Linked DNA regions of Styela clava. The protein of the gene in region 2 purifies or fractionates together with the protein of the main gene of each other region. This does not show direct contact. Links are inferred from orthologs where the notes say so. Each region holds a gene or a part of one and is shown on either strand. Other genes may lie near its edges.

What was found. Proteins that work in one complex are often made in the same cells at the same time.
Region 1: the proteins of cytosolic iron-sulfur assembly component 2A-like (region 2) and cytosolic Fe-S cluster assembly factor narfl-like purify together in Homo sapiens (affinity purification with mass spectrometry; 4 studies listed by BioGRID and IntAct, with this or other methods). This does not show direct contact. The link is inferred for Styela clava from reciprocal best matches to the Homo sapiens genes CIAO2A and CIAO3.

Annotation. Positions count from the first base shown.
Region 1 is NC_135251.1:30,001,241-30,004,999, reverse strand, and holds the start of cytosolic Fe-S cluster assembly factor narfl-like, read right to left. Parts: upstream 2,289-3,759; 5' UTR 1,743-2,288; coding exon 279-1,742; 3' UTR 1-278.
Region 2 is NC_135252.1:20,979,129-20,982,887, forward strand, and holds the start of cytosolic iron-sulfur assembly component 2A-like, read right to left. Parts: upstream 2,716-3,759; 5' UTR 2,578-2,715; coding exon 2,538-2,577; intron 1,897-2,537; coding exon 1,767-1,896; intron 844-1,766; coding exon 710-843; intron 1-709. Other genes in the region: uncharacterized protein LOC144421077, read right to left, coding at 3,026-3,583. UniProt on the Homo sapiens protein: Component of the cytosolic iron-sulfur protein assembly (CIA) complex, a multiprotein complex that mediates the incorporation of iron-sulfur cluster into extramitochondrial Fe/S proteins.

The DNA of each region.
Region 1 (3,759 bases), on a different chromosome or scaffold from region 2:
ATTGAACAGATCATCAACATTATTCAAGGTGGCATCGCCTATGGCACATTTATAAAACTAATATAATGTACAAAATTAGATTAGCAAACAGAACAATACTATATTTTTTACAGTATATGTTCAAAGCACAGCTCACATAGTTGAAAACAAGGTTGCACATATTGCTGGAATATTTATCCAAACGAGTAGGCACTAATGGAGTTAGTAATATGTGTATTGCGCTGTTTCTATATTTATAAGAAATCATATTATAACAAATCAGATTTAAAAGCATTCCATCACCATTTAATACCCAGCCCTATCGCATTATCTGTTTCTAATGCGTGATATTTTGTATACAATATCATGTCCAAATCACTTGCAGAGAATTTATCAGCAAGAGAAGGTACATCATGGAGTTCAGTCTGAGGTTCAACTTCGTCATATTTTTTCTGAATAAGTGCAAGATGTTCTTTTTGCTCATCTCTACTCAGTTTGGGATCTTTAATTTGTCCACCGCCATTGAGACAACCTGATGGACAAGCCATAACCTCTACATAGTGATATTTACACATTTTTCTTTTCATTTTTTGCACCAAATTTTGAATGCTACGAAATCCATATGTACATGCAAAGCGTAGAAGAACATTACCATCATCATCATTAAGAATCACTTCTCTGAAATCTTTATTGTTTCTTATTGTTTTGTATTCGATCTTGTCTACAGTCTTATTAAAAAGTTCTTTAGCAGCTGACCTGAAAATGTATTCAAGAAATCCTCCCGAACCACCACCAGCATTGCTAATAAGATTTGATGGAGCTAACAAAGCTTTCCGTAATTCTTTATGAATGGATGAAACATCAGGAGTGGTATGGTTATCCAATGATAATAGGTCTTTAGGAGAGATGGATTCTTTTTCAATCATAGTTTGAACCTCGGTTGTTGCAAGAACGAGGTCAACATCTTTACTTCGATAAATATCATTATAAAAGTCCTCTCTTGTTGCTTCTAATTTCTTATCATAACACATCATTACTGTCACATGATATACCGAGCTTGGTGAGTTTTCGGAAACACTCGGAATTATACTTTTGATTAAAGATCCTGCAATTTGTTGTGGTGATTTCACTTTACTCAAATGTGGAATCACAAGTTTACCATGAGTTTTTTCAGCATAGCAAATAAAGCCAGGACATGCTGATGTCAATATTGGCAAATTTGCATTGTTTTGAAATGATTCAATAAATTCTTTCCTACATTCATCAAGTGCATATTGGCGAAAATATGCAGTGTCCAATACTAAATTTGCACCAATTTTAGTGAAGAAATTACTTAAAAATAGTGCAGTCTCTTCAAGACTAAGTCCATAATGAGCAGATAAAGATGCTCTGCTTTGGGGAGACGTTGAAACAACAATATATCTTTTATGATTTTCAGATTTATTCGACAAAACAACCTTATAAAACTCTTCAAAACTATGTTGTTGTACAAGAATAGACTCCGCAGATGTAACACATCCACTGCATGCCAAACAATCACTCAAAGATACTTCAGCTTTCTGCAAAGTTTTGATTTGTTCATTTGCCGCATCAACATAATTACCTTCATCATCCAGCCTTATTTTTGATTTCTTCTTTATCCCTTTATTTAGCGATACAACTGAAGGCTTTTTAATCTGTGTCGGCTTGATACATTCTTGCGATGGTGCAATGAAGTCATCCAAATCAGTTAACTGAAGAGCACCACTGAACTTAGAAGCCATTGTTCCTCAGTTACTTTACTCACACGCAACGAGAATCATCCACATTCCTGCATTCAGACATATTGAAGAATGTTTGGTTTGCGATGTCATAACCGTAAGCGTAAGATGTCAACAAAGAGCAAAGAATGGCGAAACGTGTCATTTTATTTTCACTCAAGATTACAGAAGTTGTAACTTAGACAGATTGATGCGGTTTCGGGGGAGGAATCCGCTTAACACTAATTTTAATATATTGAATGTATCGTGACAATTTTTTTTCAATATGATTGCTTTTGCTCAAAGAAATAGAACTTGTAGAATTAGGTAATAATGTTTTATAATTGATTAAAGATTATTTCGACTCCATAGTGCCATAATGAGCATAACAGATGATAAAAGTTGATAAAAACAAGTACGGTACCCAGTCTGGATTTCATGGCCTTTTCGAACGAGAAATCGGGCGTGCAATCAGAAATTCCCGCGTGCAAATAAGAATTTCTGGCGTGCAATTATAGTTCACGGCGTGCAAAACAACTGCGCCCGCTAAACTGATTTCGACCTAAGATACCTCTCAATACATCCGCGTAAAAATGAGTTGGATCATAGCAAAAAATGGACGTTTGACCTTTGACCCCCAAAACATCATTTCTATATTTTGTCACTAATTTTGAGAGTGTTTGTGCGACTTTAGATACCGGTACTGTTCAGTACATCCGTGTAAAATTATTGTTTTAAAAATACGCTGAATCAGAGCCATAACTGGCCAGCGTCGGTGAGGAGGCGATTTTTCTCACGGAATTCCTATCATTCAACACGATATGGTGATTTTTGCTTCGCATTTTTCGATCAGGCCAAATCTTGCAAGCAAGTATTAGTCGACAATTGTAAAGTTATAATTTTTTGGCATCTTTATATTACTAGATTATTGATTAAAAAACTATCTAAACCGATTTACATTGGTGAGCAATTGCAAATTTTCGGCGTGCAAAATTGAATTCGCTCGCGTGCATTTTTGTGGAGCGCTAGCGCCCTCGGGCGTGCATCTGCCATGGAATCCAGTCTGGTACGGTACTAAAATTAAAAGTACTGTACCGGTAACAGATAGGACAGGACAGCAAACAAAAAGTTTAGACTCTACTCTACATCTACCGGTATAGGGTGCAGAATTGAAATTGGAAGATCAGGGGGTCTAAAAAGTGACATTTATTTACCCATCTAAAGCCAGAAACCTATCATTGATAATTTTGCTAATTGGTAGCCTATTTCAAAACTTTTGAATTTATGACGGTGTGGCTCAACGGGCTAAGCGTTAGGAATACGCTCGACACCGCACCTCTAATTACTCTGCGTGGGTTCGCAGGTTCAAATCCCATGAAGGGATGGTTATGTGCGAGAGGATTGCTGGACTCCTCGCCGTCGTTGGGTGGTTCACGTAACCGCTGGTCGGTTACGGCTTCCTCCACCACCAAGTCCATGCTTCCGAAAACGAACAATACAGTAAAAACTAATCCCATACCCGACTTGGAATGGTAACCGGACGAGAGGCCGTGGTCCCCCGGGATAAATATGTAAATCCTATCCTATCCCTATGATTCTGCCTTTCTAATAACTTAAACATCTTTAATTCTATCAAAATGCTGAAATGGATAATGCATGTTTTAATTGCTTGATGCTGTGTTTTAATTCTGTAATTGGAATGGATACCACTGATGCTAAAATCATGTGACGTACTGATATCTGGAAGGAAAATATATTGGATGGTAACATTTAATTTGATATGATGAATATTGTTTTCTTATTACTGGGTTCAACACATTTTAGGAAAAAAAATTGCAAAAAGTAATTAGGATCTCATTTACGCTTCTGTCTTTATCATTTCATCGTGATTTAACTAGCAGAGATTACTACTATACTACAGAACTTAGGGAATTAATGGAACATAAAATACTAGCATCTCATTTTCATATGCGTATTTATTGCAGTGGTGTTTCATTGGTTTATAGTGTTTGCCTAAAATTTGGATTATTCCTAAATACTG
Region 2 (3,759 bases):
GAAATAGGTATTTGTTAATATGCATGGTCTTCATGGTGGAACCAACCAGCGGTTACGTTAACCACCTGATGTCTCAAAGAGTCCAGAAATCCTCCGGTACATAAAGATTTGCCGCAGTGTGTTTGGGGTTCTTAACTCTTAGCATAATGGGCCAACTGTTGTTCAAAAGCACTGTGTCAAATAAGCACCATGCTTCAGCTAACACAAAAGTGTGGACCCAGCAGTTAGGCAGCCTGATGTATGGTTATTACTTATCGATTTTAATCGGTAAACATGTTGATAAGTATCTGTCTGTTAGATGCACGCGATATCTCACGAAAGCGAGATTGAATCTGCTCCAGATTTTGCATGTGCATTCATATTGATTTTGGATGAATTATGTCGTATAATTAGCGAGATATTAATTAATTAATGATGGAACACCAGGTGTTACTATGGAGTAAGAGCGCTGTTTTGGGGGATCCCCTAACTTTCGATCGATAAGTCTTCGGTCTCTGACCGATATTCTCATTTGCCGTTTGTTCAAGTTGTATTAGTTACTTTTGTGCATACTGAATCGTAGCAGTAAAAGCCTCTTATTTTGGGTGCAAACATTGTGTGATGTTTCGGGGAAAGCTTAGCAAGTTAGGGAACTTTGCAGATGGGGGCGAAACACTACACATATAAGCACAGTATAAAAAATTGTACTGCTCCTCGAGAATTCACTTACTTTCGTCACGAGTGTTGTGTGTGCCTTCAGCAACATTGATAGATATTTTATGATTGGTTGGAAGATTTCTCTCTAATTTAACTCTCATGCATAGTCCAATAAGTGTAGCAAGTGAACAATGGGGAATCGTAGGTCTGCAATATTGAATATTAATGCTGTTAAGATTGTTCATTCAGGATGCTGCATCACCAGTTCAGTAAGTGTCAGGAATATGCTTGCATGCAAGGATGGTTAACTTATATGCGAGAGGATGGACTCCTCACCGTCAAAGGGCGGTTCATGTAACTACTGGTCAGTTACAGCTTACTCCACCATCAAGTCCATGCTTCCGACAACAAATAAATGGCTAAGTGATTCCATACCCGACATGGTCTGGTAACCGGACAACTGTGGGTCGCCATATGATTAAGCAGTCCTATCGACTTTCCTCTAGCCACACATAATTCTTCCTAGCTTAACATCTTATTAGAAAGAAGGTCACCATGTTTCCTGACTTATATTCTCACCTAATACACAATGAACCGTCAGAGGATCAAAAAGTGATGCAATGACAAGCTTTTTCTAAACTCTAAGCATGACGCACACCCCAGCATTAATAAGGTAAGAATCCATTTTAAACTCTGTTATGTTTTAAGGCACAGGACACAAAAAAAAACTTAAAAGTACTTCATGCCCACAGCCCCACATCATCTTGTGACATTGAATATAAGTGAAAACCAAGATGAAATTCTCACAAAACGAACGTGGAAGCATTGCGATATTACACACCAGGGCGCTCCAGAAGTGGAGGTAACTAATATTATTCGCCCATTTTATATCAAGTTGTGTAAAGGAACTGAAATCAGGGGCTTTATTTACTTGTCTAAAACAGACAGTCTCCGAACTCGTAAAAGAACTAAAATAATCGGAATAAAAATATGGCCTAACCCTAACATGGTACACACACTACTGGATTACCCACACCAGTGACATATACGCAAGGGCAGTGAAAATACAAAACAGCTATAATGAAAATGACTAACCCCAATAGCAAGAATAATACAAGAACTATACTGACTTATAATCAACTTCGACGAAGTATCGTTCTTGATCAGCATCTGTTTCTACTCTGATACCTTCTTCATACACAATATCTAAATCTTCTAAAGTTCCAGGTTTTTCAGGATCTTTTATTGTTCGCAGAAGATCTATAACAAAGGTGACAATTAGTAATCCCAGAGTTTTCATTGAAAAAGGGTTCCAATTAACATTAACTGGTGGAAAAATGGGTACTCATGTAGTATGTGAACCAAGATGGCGGACTCTGGAACGTAGTATATGTACTGGGTCAGACCATAATTTCAAGTACAAATACTGCAGGAGTCATTTGGCTAGTCCTTGAACTCGTAATAGAACTAAAATGAGGAAAATTAGAATAAAATTATGGCCTAACTCTAACCTGGTACATATACTACGTTTCGGTGTCTGCCATCTTGGTTCACATACTACGGGAGCACTGAAAAATGATGAATACAACATCGGTATACTATTTTTTTTTTTTTGAAAGAACTTTCTTAGAGTAAAGTCATGTTCACTCGTTTAGAAATAAAGAAGATTGATTTCTAAACGAATTTAACATCGACCACTAAAGGCCTGGGAACTACAAGAATAAAAAAAAATTTACTAGAATCATTGCTCGAAGCTGTAGTCAAAATTTTTTAACACATAGAATTGGCAGTCAAAATTCTTCTTAACATCGAATCGACGATTTACTTCAGCCTGGAGCTTGTAAATTTTGTCAGACCTTACAGCCCTGGCATAAACGACTAACAGTTGACATTTTTCATACCATATATTGTCCCTTTGTGTGTGTCAATGTCCAAATCCATTGTTGTATTTACAAAACTACGACACAAAAAGTGTAGCTGTTTTTTAAAGATATACAAATTATCATGAAACAAAAATATATCAAATTCATTAATGTATAATTTTACCAAACAAAAACCAATATGACAAAGGTTATTCTTTTATAACAGACAGTTATAATCTAGCAAGAATTTAAACCAATTAAGGTACCACCTATACATTATAATAAATATCTGAAAAATTCAATACAGTTTATCTTATTATTTCACATTTTATAGGTGTTGTCAAATAATGATAAAAATTGGTGAAACTAACATTAATCGTTTATGTGCACAGAAATGATACTTTAACTTTCCTTTTTCACAGTTCAGCTTTAACAAAGTCAATTTTTTTTTAATTGCTCTTGAGTCAGATTCGGAGTATATGCTCTGAGCTTATGAGAGACTACTTCCAACGTAGTGACATAAAATTTCATGAATCAGCATTTTTGCTAGTGGATGTTTCCGCACTTTCTTTTTGTTTGTTATAATAATAAAGTGCATATCCCAGGAGAGAAAAAGTCATGAAGAAAGAAGCATACTCGAAAAAATATCCATATTTAAAAACGCTTCCAAGCATGAGATGTTTTACTTCAGCATCAGCCTCTTGCTTTTTCTCAAGAGTTTTAAAAGTCAGTTGATCGGGAACATCTTTCATATTTTCAAACTTCCCAACAAAAACAAGAATCATTTTATCTACTCTTGTTAATTTTCGAACTTTTTTTTTATTTTGATGAATTTCTTTTTTTCTCTCTAAATAAATTTCACTTTCAGTCTTTCTTTTGTCTACGACTTCTTGTTCTTCAATTTCAACAACATCATTATCTCCTATTGCCGGTCGAAACACTTTTCTTGTATATGTTTTCTCCGCATAGTTGCATGCTGGTATTGACTTTGCCAGCCAGTTTTTCTGATTTAACAAATGTTTTTCGACAAAAACTAGGCGTTCTAGTAACAAAGCCCTCCTGGTTGCAGTTCGTAATAAATTCATTTCATTGCTTAATAAAAATCTGTTATGAAAACAATGGAATTTTATTTCAATCCTTGCAGCCTTGTCTATGACATGTTGCACAGAGATGTGGCAAATGAGGAGAGATAGTGATTTATTTCAAATACCCTTAAAGTAGGCTACACATTGCAATTAAAAACAATAAAACTTTGGCAGCC